Linked DNA regions of Arabidopsis thaliana. The protein of the gene in region 1 interacts with the protein of each later gene in a pairwise test. Each region holds a gene or a part of one and is shown on either strand. Other genes may lie near its edges. The genes, in order: AMT1;3 and AT3G56370.

Evidence for each region.
Region 2: the proteins of AMT1;3 (region 1) and AT3G56370 interact in a protein complementation assay, tested with the Arabidopsis thaliana proteins (one large-scale study listed by BioGRID).

What each region holds. Positions count from the first base shown.
Region 1 is NC_003074.8:8,804,727-8,809,180, forward strand, and holds AMT1;3 (ammonium transporter 1;3), read right to left. Parts: upstream 2,735-4,454; 5' UTR 2,629-2,734; coding exon 1,132-2,628; 3' UTR 793-1,131; downstream 1-792.
Region 2 is NC_003074.8:20,898,592-20,905,369, forward strand, and holds AT3G56370 (Leucine-rich repeat protein kinase family protein), read right to left. Parts: upstream 4,490-6,778; 5' UTR 4,244-4,489; intron 3,870-4,243; 5' UTR 3,800-3,869; coding exon 2,370-3,799; intron 2,277-2,369; coding exon 812-2,276; 3' UTR 508-811; downstream 1-507.

The DNA.
Region 1 (4,454 bases):
GTGAATACACTAGTACTTGACGACTATAATCACTCTAAGAAATTAGTTGGGTGGTAAAATGTCGGATTACCGATAGATAATTAAAATAAAATAAAACTCTAAGTCTAAACTATACGGGCAAGAATATTTAACTGGTTCGTAATTATTTTAATATTTTTTCTTACTACGACCCGTTAAAGGTAATCAAAATTCTTGTACAATGTTCTGTCTTTGTTTGGGTGACATATGAAATATACGTTTGAGAATATTTAAATACAGTTTGACGACTAATATGCACAAAAAGATGATGTGCAAGGTATAAGCTACTGGAATTGCATCGTAATTCCATGATTCTACAGGTCTCGAAAGTGTATACAAACAAGGAATATATGTTATAAAAATTTTTGTTTAGCAGAATTTGAAATAAATAAAAAATACTATTGAAATATTAGGTGCTAAAATTTATCAACCACAAAATATGGGTCATACTCCTTTGTTTAAAGTTATCGAGGACGCAAGAATTTGATTTATATTTTAATTTTAGTTTGTACGATTAATAGCAACAATTGTTAGGCTAATAAAACCCATTAGGCTTAGTTCAATAGTTCTAAACAAGTGACCAGTTACATAGATGTAATGACATGTCATATTTCTTCTAGTATTATTTATTAACCAACATCGTTCAAGTAAAAGATAATATCTACGTGTACCTAAGCGTGGCTAGTTAACTAATTGGAAAAAATCGCTTTACGTGTACATAAGGGAATGACTAAGTTCTGCTTTTGGTACGAAATGGTACACAAATGATTTTTCAGAATTTATATTATTCTAAGAACAACTTTTGTGTACTCCAATTTCCTAATGCCGTCGGCAGAACAAAAACCTAAGCAAAGTTGTATACAGTATATGCATAACTCTCCTTTTTGGATCACCAAAAGTTGTATATATAAATTTCTAAGAAATAGCATAAACATTAGCCGAGGCATGTAAAATTAAAATTCAAGAAAAAAAAAAAAAACATAAACTAAAACACTTATAAACACAAAAAGACGATAGGTCACTTAAAACAAACCAAAACATCCAAATATTTATATTTCAAAACCAAAACCCAAACAATACTTAAACGGTAATAAATTACCAAAAAGTTGAAAATTAAACGCGAGGAGGAGTAGCTGATCGAGGGAAAGGAGATCCAGGATCCACTCTATGAGACTCATCATCATTATCATGGTAGATATAAGCAAAGCCACCGTGACGTGTCATATCCATCCCTTGCATTTCATGCTGCTCCGAGATCCTAAGCAGATTGAGCCTTTTGAGGATGAAGAAGAGTGTTCCCATTGTGGCACTAACCCATCCTACAATCACAAGTATTTGAACCAATTGTGCTCCCAACAGCTTCCCTCCTCCGCCCATAAATAGTCCATATGGCCTTCCCGGGGTGGCGCCATAAACCTCGTTTAGATACTTCTCTTTGGCAAACAATCCTACGAATATCAACCCCCACGCGCCACACCCTCCATGTAGTTGGGCTGCCTCGAGTGGATCATCATATTGTACAAGCTCCGCGAGCTTGTTGCATCCGATAAGGACGACAGAAGCCATGAAGCCGCACACAATCGCTGCCCATGGCTCTACGACGGAGCAACCTGCGGTTATGGCCGCAAACCCACCGAGTAACCCGTTGCAAACGTCCGTTACGTTCCAGTGGCCTGATAGGAGACGTTTACCAAAGAGTGTGGTTAGAGCTGCTGTGCATCCTGAGAGTGTGGTGTTAACCGCTGTACGGCCGATTCCGCTCCATTGGCCGTAGTTGGAACCAGAATTATACGGAACGAGTATCTTAGTGAAGGAACCGGGGTTGAAACCATACCATCCAAACCATAGGAGGAAGGTTCCTAAGACTACTAGCGAGGCAGAGTGGCCGCGCAGAGCAATAGCGCGACCACCTTTCTCGAACCGACCACGACGAGGACCTTCAATAAGAGCACCCCATAAACCTGCTATGCCACCAACCATGTGAACAACACCGGAGCCAGCAAAGTCAATGGCTCCGGTGCTAAACAAACGATCATCCGCTGAACGAAAGGGACTGGCCCATCCATCCGGGGACCAAAACCAGTGAGAGACAACCGGGTAAACAAATCCGGTTAAGAAAGAAGAGTATATCAAGTAAGCCACGAACTGAGTCCTCTCTGCGATCGAACCACTTGTGATTCCAGCGGCCGCGATTGCGAACGCCCATTGGTAGAGGAAGAAAGAGTAATCAGCTGTGGGAGTCGGAAAGTCTCTAAGAGCAAAGTTGTGTCTTCCAATGAACCCTTCGGAGGATCCTCCAAAGGCAAAGGCGTAACCAAAGAGATAGTAGAAGAGTCCTCCGGCTGCAGCGTCAAGGACATTGGTAAGCATGATGTTCATCGTATTCTTGGCTCTAACAGAACCAGCACAAAGCATAGCGAAGCCGAGCTGCATGGCGAAGACAAGGTAGGCAGAGAAGAGGAGGTAGGTGTTGTCTATGGCGAAGGCTGCATCGGTGAACTTGTTGTTAACGGTGCCTAATTGGCCGCAAATGTAGTCGGCCGCCGCCGTGGCGTTGGGGCCAAGTAGGGTGGCGAGATCGGCCGCAGAGCATGTTATTGCTCCTGACATGTTTGAGAGAGCTGAGAGAGAGAAAGAGAGATACGGAGAAGAAAGGTTGTCTCTTGTGTGTCTCTTAAAAGGAAGAAGGAGGAGTTTAGGGTTGACTTTAGATTCCGGCTAGACCAATTAAGTTCGTATTTAAGAGAGTTTATCAATTATTTAAGAAGTTATGTGACGTAACAACATTATTGAATTAGAGATGTAATCTGCCAAATCTTCTTAATAACTTGCAAATTACGATCCTAATCCTATACGGTTTTTGGTGATTAAGTGATTGCCATGTAATGTGTGAATAAAAAAAAGGTAAATTAAAGGCTTGTATAAAAAAATTACAAAAATAAATTTGTGAATAAAATTGATACTAGTATTTAAAGTAATAAATCAAAGAATAATTGTCCTAGCTCAACCGTATATGTTCAAGCAAACCGATCAGAACTTACTACATAGATGTCGATTTTAGATCAGCAGTTTTATGAAATTAAGTCAAGATTCAGCACTCTTTATACGACAATCTTATGATAATCTTGCAAAATTTTAATAAAGTTCATAACCAAATATTAATTAAGTTTGCTGAAGGTTGAAACCAAAAATGATAACATGGGTTAGCGGGAACCACGTTTTATTTGCTGAAAATTGCACTTTACACCCTTAACTCTTAGATATGTCCAAAATTACTCAGATCATCAACAGAAGCATTAAAAAAAATTATCTTGGTTTTGTATAATAATACTACATGCATGTATAAAGTATTCAATTAGGAAAACAAAAAAATGAAGACACACGACATATAGTTTCAAGCAAGAGATATATACAATAATTCGATCCAATTGACATTGAAACCTATTAACAGTTCATGAATAATTCACGTTTATACCAAAACAAAAACATTCATGTTTAAGATATATATATATATATATATATATATATATTTTAAGATATTTAATGATTGAAAAAAGACATTTATCTCTCAGTTTGTGCCAAGCCATGAAAATTCAAGTCAAGTATTACTTTTAGGAACATGATGATCTCTTTTGATCAAAAATCTATTATGATGTATTTGAATAAATATACTTAAAAGTTGTTACAAGTGCTGATGTTTCACCAATAGGCTTTTTATTGTCACTAACTAGTTCTAAAAACTGAAAGCTTTCTATATATGTATGTGTGTGTGTGTCTGACCTTAATCATGTTTTAAGTCAACCTAACTTAATCATTATGGGAGACACTTGTGACTTGTTATCTATATATTTACTGATGAGTTGTAAATGAGAGTTGACACTCAGAAAAATAGACAAAGCAAACTGTTTTCTAAAATAATGAACGTTAAATTATGCACATATTTTAGTAGACGGTAGCTTTCTAAATCGTACAAAATAATGTCAAGAATTGACGTGACATCATTGATTACCACATAACAAATATTGATTCTTTAGTAATACGTAGTAACTATTGATTAATTGTAGTACATATTTTTTAATTTAGGTCAACTGAAAATTATAAATGTAAAATTGTTTACTAAATACGAAAAGCCATAGTAAGTGATTTACATTATATTGGTTTATGAAATAAAACTAAAGCAGGCTTGTTATACTGTGTAACTAGGTAAGCACCACGGCTCGACGCAATAGCACGTTAGGGAGTCTATAGCTCGCCTCTATGCATATCAAAATTCACAATTTTTGTTCGTGAAATTCTTTTTTTATCCTCTGATGTTAGAAACCAAAGGCATCATAAGAAAAATTGCGATAATCAAGACTTTTGCATTAACTTTTGTGCCAAAAAACAATTACGCCAAGAGTGGTAGACTTTGCATTGCTTCATGATGACTTTAAAGA
Region 2 (6,778 bases), about 12 Mb from region 1:
ATGTACAATATTGAAATGGATTTTTAACTTATGAGTTAAAATGTCAAAATGTTGCAAATTACCGAGGCTAGACAACGTAGATTGTAGTACTAATTTCGTCTTTCCCAACTCCAAGAGAGAAAAACGTGGTCTGTTTCAGACAAGGCATGCTCCATTCCTCTTTTATCGGCCATTGAAACTAGGGTTCTTCTGTTAAAAATGTACTTATATTATCCCTCAAAAAGATACTAATGAATAATGTATTTTAATTACAGATTCTTGAGACGTTTCTTCGATTCCCATAATCCAATAAAAGATCAGACCCATTAAATTGTTGAGTTTTCACAGAGTCCCATGCACATGGTTACAACAAATGAAGCTTCTTAAGTTATTTTATACTCTCTTTGTTCAGAGAGCATCATCACACGAAGTCACTAAGTTTTATCTTGATTCTTGTTTTTCTCAACCCTAAGTTTTTATTTGTCTCACAAGAAAGCTCTTATCTTCTACGACTGCTAAAAGATGGTTCAGAACCTGAAATGAAGACTACAGGCTTTCTTTCATAATAATACTTAAGATTTCATCGAAAGAGTCCCATATTATGGAACCCGGTGAAGACAAATCCGATACAGCCCTAAAAATGTTACAAGAACAATAAATAGAAGAAGCTACAAACATTGAAATTGAAACTAACAGACACAAAAGATAACACATAAGAGATTATCAAAAAACAAACACAAACAAGGATTTCTCTTAAAACCCCCAAATGAACAAACCGGATTCCTCTTCGCCGGAACTTGGTGAAAAAACATGTTAGTCTTTAACCTTCTTTTCAACTTGAACCCAACTCATCTGAGCTCCCTGAAGGGCATCTGATCATCCTCAATATGTTAACAGCTTCTCCCATATGTGGTCTACTTGATGGAACCTGAGAAGTGCAAATAAGCCCTAGCTTTATCACTGCAACCGCTTCTTCTACCGGAAACTTCCCTTGCAGCCTTGGGTCAATACATTCATCTGCTCTTCCATCTTCAAGAGCTTCTCTCACCATATCACACAAAACCACAACATCATCTTCCATATACTCCACAGGCTTTTTACCTGTAACCACTTCAAGGACCAAGACTCCAAATCCATAAACATCACATTTCTCTGTTATTTTCACCGTTCTACAAGCAAACTCTGGAGCCATGTATCCCAACGCACTCTGTATCTTGCTACTCAGCACGTACCTATCTAGCATAGGTAACAGCCTCGCTAATCCGTAGTCTCCTACTTTAGGCTCACCAGAGCTGTCTAGCAACACGTTGCTCGATTTGATGTTGTAGTGGATGATGTTTGATTGGTGCAAGTAAGCTAAGCATTTCGCTGTACCAAGGATAATGTTGAACCGATCATTCCAAGAAAGCGAACTATTACCTCCTGGTGCTTCGTGCAACTGTTTGTATAAACTCCCACCAGAGAGAAACTCATAGATCAGAAGCTGGAGAGAAGTTGTCCAGTAATATCCTTCGAGTTTAACCAGATTCGAATGCCTGAGTTTTCCAAGTTTCTTCACCTCTCTTTCGAATTCGTCCTGAGACTTGACAAGACTCGAGACAGTGAGCTTCTTGATAGCTACAGGATACCCATCTCTGATAACTGTTCTGTACACCGCTCCAAATCCACCTCGACCAAGCTCACAGTCTTTGTTAAGCAGAGCATGTGTTCCAGTGCTGAAATCAGGTTCACCAGAGAACATCACCAGCTTCCCTGAGTTGCTATCAGTAGTGGGAGATCGACTGAAGTCATCTCCGCCTGAGAACGTGAGCGGTACTGCTGATCTTGAAACCGTTGATGCGCGCACTCTCAGATTAAGTACCGTGATGGCTATTACACCAACCACAATGGCTGCAGCAGCACTAATGGCTATCAAAGAAGATATACTAAGCAGTATCCTTTTGTGACCAGCACCTGGAGGCACTATTTCACCATTGTAAGGATCGAAAGTTGCATTAGGATTCAACACAATCGGTTTAGGGGAGATGGCAGGACAAGACTTATTGACAACAGCACCGCAAATTCCCGGGTTTCCTGATACTGAACTTGGGGATAAACCGTTGAAGATTCCACCTGCAGGTAGTTCCCCAAAGAGATGGTTATGAGATATGTTGAATGTGTGAAGATAGCCGAGATTAGCCAACTGTTTAGGAAGTGTTCCGGCCAGTTCATTAAATGATAAGTCGACTTCTTCGAGTCTTGTAAGTTTAGCGAGCTCTGGTGGAATTGAGCCTAGCAGCTTGTTATGTGACAGGATCCTGTAGAAAGAAGCATGAAACAGAACACAGTTAAGACATAATCTTCAATGGGAAAATCTTAACAGAATGCAACCTAAAGCAAAAGAGACTTACAAAGACCGAAGGGAACTGCAATTCTTGATGGAAGATGGAATATTTCCCTCCAACAAGTTATTTTCAAGTCTCAACTCCTCCAAAGAAACAGCTCCACCTGTTTCTCGAGGAATCATTCCATTGAGCTGATTGTGACTCACATCAAGGACGCTCAAGTGCTTTAGTTCCCCAATGGTACTGGGGATGGGGCCGGTAAGAGAGTTTCTGGACAGATGCAATCCCTCCAGGTCTCTAAGATCTCCTAGACCAGCTCCAATCTCGCCAGAGAATGCATTGTGGGAGAGATCCAAAACCTGGATCTTCTTGATACCTCCAGTAGAGTTATCATTCTTTAATGCAGACACATCACGAGAACCATCTTGAAATAGCCACATGGGAAGCTTTCCAGTTAGTGAATTCCCACTTAAATCTAAGGCCAAGAGGTTGATACAGTTGGCTGTTGAGACCGGCAAGCTACCAATAAGCCCATTCCCAGAAAAGTTGAGAACTTTCAGTGCTAGAAGGTTGCCTATGGAGTCTGGAACCTGCCCTGAAAACTTATTCATGGAAAGATCCAAAGTCTCAAGACTCCTCATTTCTCCTATCCACTTTGGAACTTCACCTTCTAACGCATTCTTTCCCAAGTTCAGAGAATAACACAAACTGAGCTGCTGAAATGTATTTGGTAAGCTTCCTGATAGAGAGTTTTCACTAAGATCAATAGTCTTCAGCAGCATACAGCTCCCAATTTCGCTAGGAATAGGACCAGATAACCGGTTTCTACTCAAATCAAGCGCACGCAAGTTGTTCAATCTATCTATCTTCTCTGGAAACTCTCCCTCTAACTCATTCCTCGACAAATCAAGTGATCTTAGAGTGTTCAAAGACCAAATCCCCAAAGGCATAGAACCAGAAAAACCATTGGAAGACAAGTTTAAAGCAGCAAGAGACGAGCACGAGCTTATACTAACCGGAATCTTCCCCGTTAGTTTGTTCTTCGCCAGAGATAAAACTCTTAATGACCCACATTGCCTGAAAAACTCATCAGGAAGCGAACCAGACAAGCCATTGCTACTCAAGTCAACAACCTTAAGGTTAACAAGGCTCAGCAGCATATTAGGGTTAATGATTCCCGTGAGATTGTTGTTGGACAGAGAGAGCTTATGAAGAAACTGAAGCTGAAGTAGGCCACGACCAATTCGACCAGACAGAGAGAAGCCATCTAGATTTAACTCAGTGACTCGATTCGTCCTCGGATGGCATTTGACTCCGTTCCAACTACAAGGAGTGTAGTCATCTTCGTTCCAAGAAGCTAGCTTTTGCTCTGGATCTCGTAAATCGGCTTTGAAGACAATGAGCCCTAAAACGTCGTCGTTTAAAGGCGGGTCTAGAGATCTCACCGGAGCTACTGCCGACACCAACAAGACTGTAAAAATCAGTGCTTTGTACATCTTTCCACAACCCTCTTCTCCGTTGAACAGATTTTAGTTGCGGAAGACCTCCATTTTCAGTTATGTAGAGCTGAAATTAGAAAGAAGAAAATTGGTGAACACAAGAGAAAAAAAAAAACAGTACATCTCAAAACAAAAACTTTGTTTGTTCGTATTCTTAGGCGTTAGATTTAGTAGAAGAAAAGAACAAAAATCTATCTCAACGGCTACATTTCGGCCAACGGAGGAAGCAAAACAAAGCAAAAAACAATGAAGAAAAATCCGGTAAAACAAAGGCTAGTTATATGAATAGAAGTAGCTACAGTTTACTTGAAATTCATAGAAATTGAAGAAATATTCAACCTTCAAGTGAATGGCTGAAGTAAATGTTGAGCAAAATAACTTGAGTTTTTTTAAGTAAAGGAGTCATTGGACAGTTACGATCTGGAAATGAGGAATTCTCACCTAGTAAGAATTTTCTCCGGGAAGATTTCCGACGAAGAATGTTGCAGCTCAGGGGGAAAAAAAACACCGTAGGAAAAGAAAGTGAGAGAGCACGAGCTTCTTCTTCTTCTTCAACTTTGTTAGGTTTTGTAGCTTTAAAAGAAGAGTGAATTTGGGAAGAAGAGAAAAAAGCCAATAAAGAAAAAAAAAGAGAGCAGAGAGAGTAATTAAAAGCTGCCTTTATCAACGGGCTGGAAAGAAGAGAGTGTGGGGCCCGAGGAAGGTGGGTGGACTCATTAAAACTCTTTAATTGACACGTGTATTTATTTTGTTGGGTTTGACGAATCCGACTTGGCTGACACGTGGCTTTTATTTTTATTTTGTGTTGGTATAGTAAGTGGGAAAATGAATAAATGATTGGCCAACTCATAAAGAAAGAAACTATAAATTTGAATATGACTAAATTATCCTTCCCAAATAATAGAAACTTTCTTTAATGGGTTTACATGCTGCTCTGTGGCCTCTTGGTATGATTCAACTAATTAGAAAATAATCTTTCACATAAAATGGAAATAATGTGGAATGTGGTTGGTTCTGTTATTCTCATGCAGAGAATTGGTATTTTGGGTAAAAAATTATGCAGAAAGAGACAGTGGTTAAAGTGGTCACCATAGTTTTGGTTTTTCATTTTTTTATTTTGATTCTCTATTTTGTTTTTTGAAGTAAGAACATTAAAGTAAGTTGGTGAGGAATGATGATGGTGTCCTGGAAAAAATATTTTGTGGTGCTTAGAGATCATTAATAATTGCAACCATAATGTTATTGTTCATTTATGTACAATGTCCTGGTCAGTAGTCAATGCATCAAACTTATTAATTATGGGTTTACAAATTTTCTTGAAAAATTATGGGGTTTTGAAATTGGATCACAAACCTAAGGATTTTGGTTGACTTGGAGGAGCTACAGATGTAAATTTTGGATCTTCTGTTTGTGCAAGGAATCATACATTATGTAAACTTTTCCTACAGATTGAAATGCGGTTGAATAACTAAGTGTCAAACACTTATTGCCATAAAATAAAACATTAAAAAAAACAGATAATAGAACAAATGATGTTGAAAAAAATATTATAATCCGTTAAGCATGCTCTTGGAATTTTTTTAATTGTTGTCTTTCTCGTTTGAGATTTGGTCCGAGTCAAGACATTTTATCAGACTTCGGTCTCTCTCCCATACCTATGTTTTAAAATTTTATATTCCTTTTGACAGTAAAAGTTATTTATTATGAAATAAACAATGAAAAATAACTCTTTTCCCCATGGAAGGAAAACAACCCTTCATGGAAATTTTGGAATTTACTATTTGTTTCTATTTGCAATTTAACAAAGAGGCCTTTTTTACTTTTTAATGTATTCTAAAAATATAGGGTCAAATTTACTACTGTTTTTAAGAGCTTTCGAGGAATTTTTTGGGCAGTGTGAGCCGGACCGTAGCGAATTCACATTTACTGTTCTTCGCTTTCCATCTATATGAAGAATTTACCCTTTGTTTGTTTTCTACAGTTAGTATTTATTTCCACATTCAATTTTTACTCGAATCTTCCTCTGTCATATCAGGATTGGCATTTAGGACCAGCCATTAAAAGGTAAAATATTTACTTTCCGGTGATGTAAAATTCCAAATTTTCTTATATTTATTTAATTATTGATTACTTACAGTTTCATTTTTTATTCCATGGTAAATAACTACGGATAAGATGGGTCCAACTCTTCCATTAGAGGCCCATTAATGAGAAACGATAAATGGGCTCAGATAATAATAAGGCTTATCAAAGTTCTACAGTCCGAATTATATTTCAGGAAAGAAAACAAATTGAACTAAAGAAATGCGACTCGCAGCTACTTATAACGCGTTACAAGGCTGGCCCATGCAACTATGCAGCTATCATATCGGTCAAAGATTTCGTATTAAAATTTGAGGTTTTCACGATAATTAAAATTGACAAATAATAATATACACATCGAACAAGCCCATAGTTTAAAAATTCAAATACTAAAAATGATAATATATCTTAAATTTTAGAGAATCATGGGGACTTCGTAACTGAGATTCTGATACAGATTTGTGATCCATTTTGAAAATTAAATATGATTATAAATTTGCATCTTCATTATACGCACGATTAGAAAAGCCAAACAAATGGGAAATTAAAAATTAATATTTGGATTTTCGTTATCATCGTACAAGATCACAAAGCACTGTCACTGACATAAAACACCAAGTTTCTTACCAGTTTCCAGAGAATCAAATACCAAGAACAAAACCACAACTTGTTGTATCTTAAATTATAAGGAAGATAAAATCATATCAAATCATTTCTTGATATATTGTTATCCTATATATCCATATATAAATTAACAACATAATTATATATATATATATATATATATATACACATCCATTCTCAAATCTTTTTAATGTATCATTTCTCTGTTTTTCTCTCCTTCTTCTGTAAGTTTGTCTCTGTTTTCTTTAGGTTTGAGAATTAAAAGCAGTA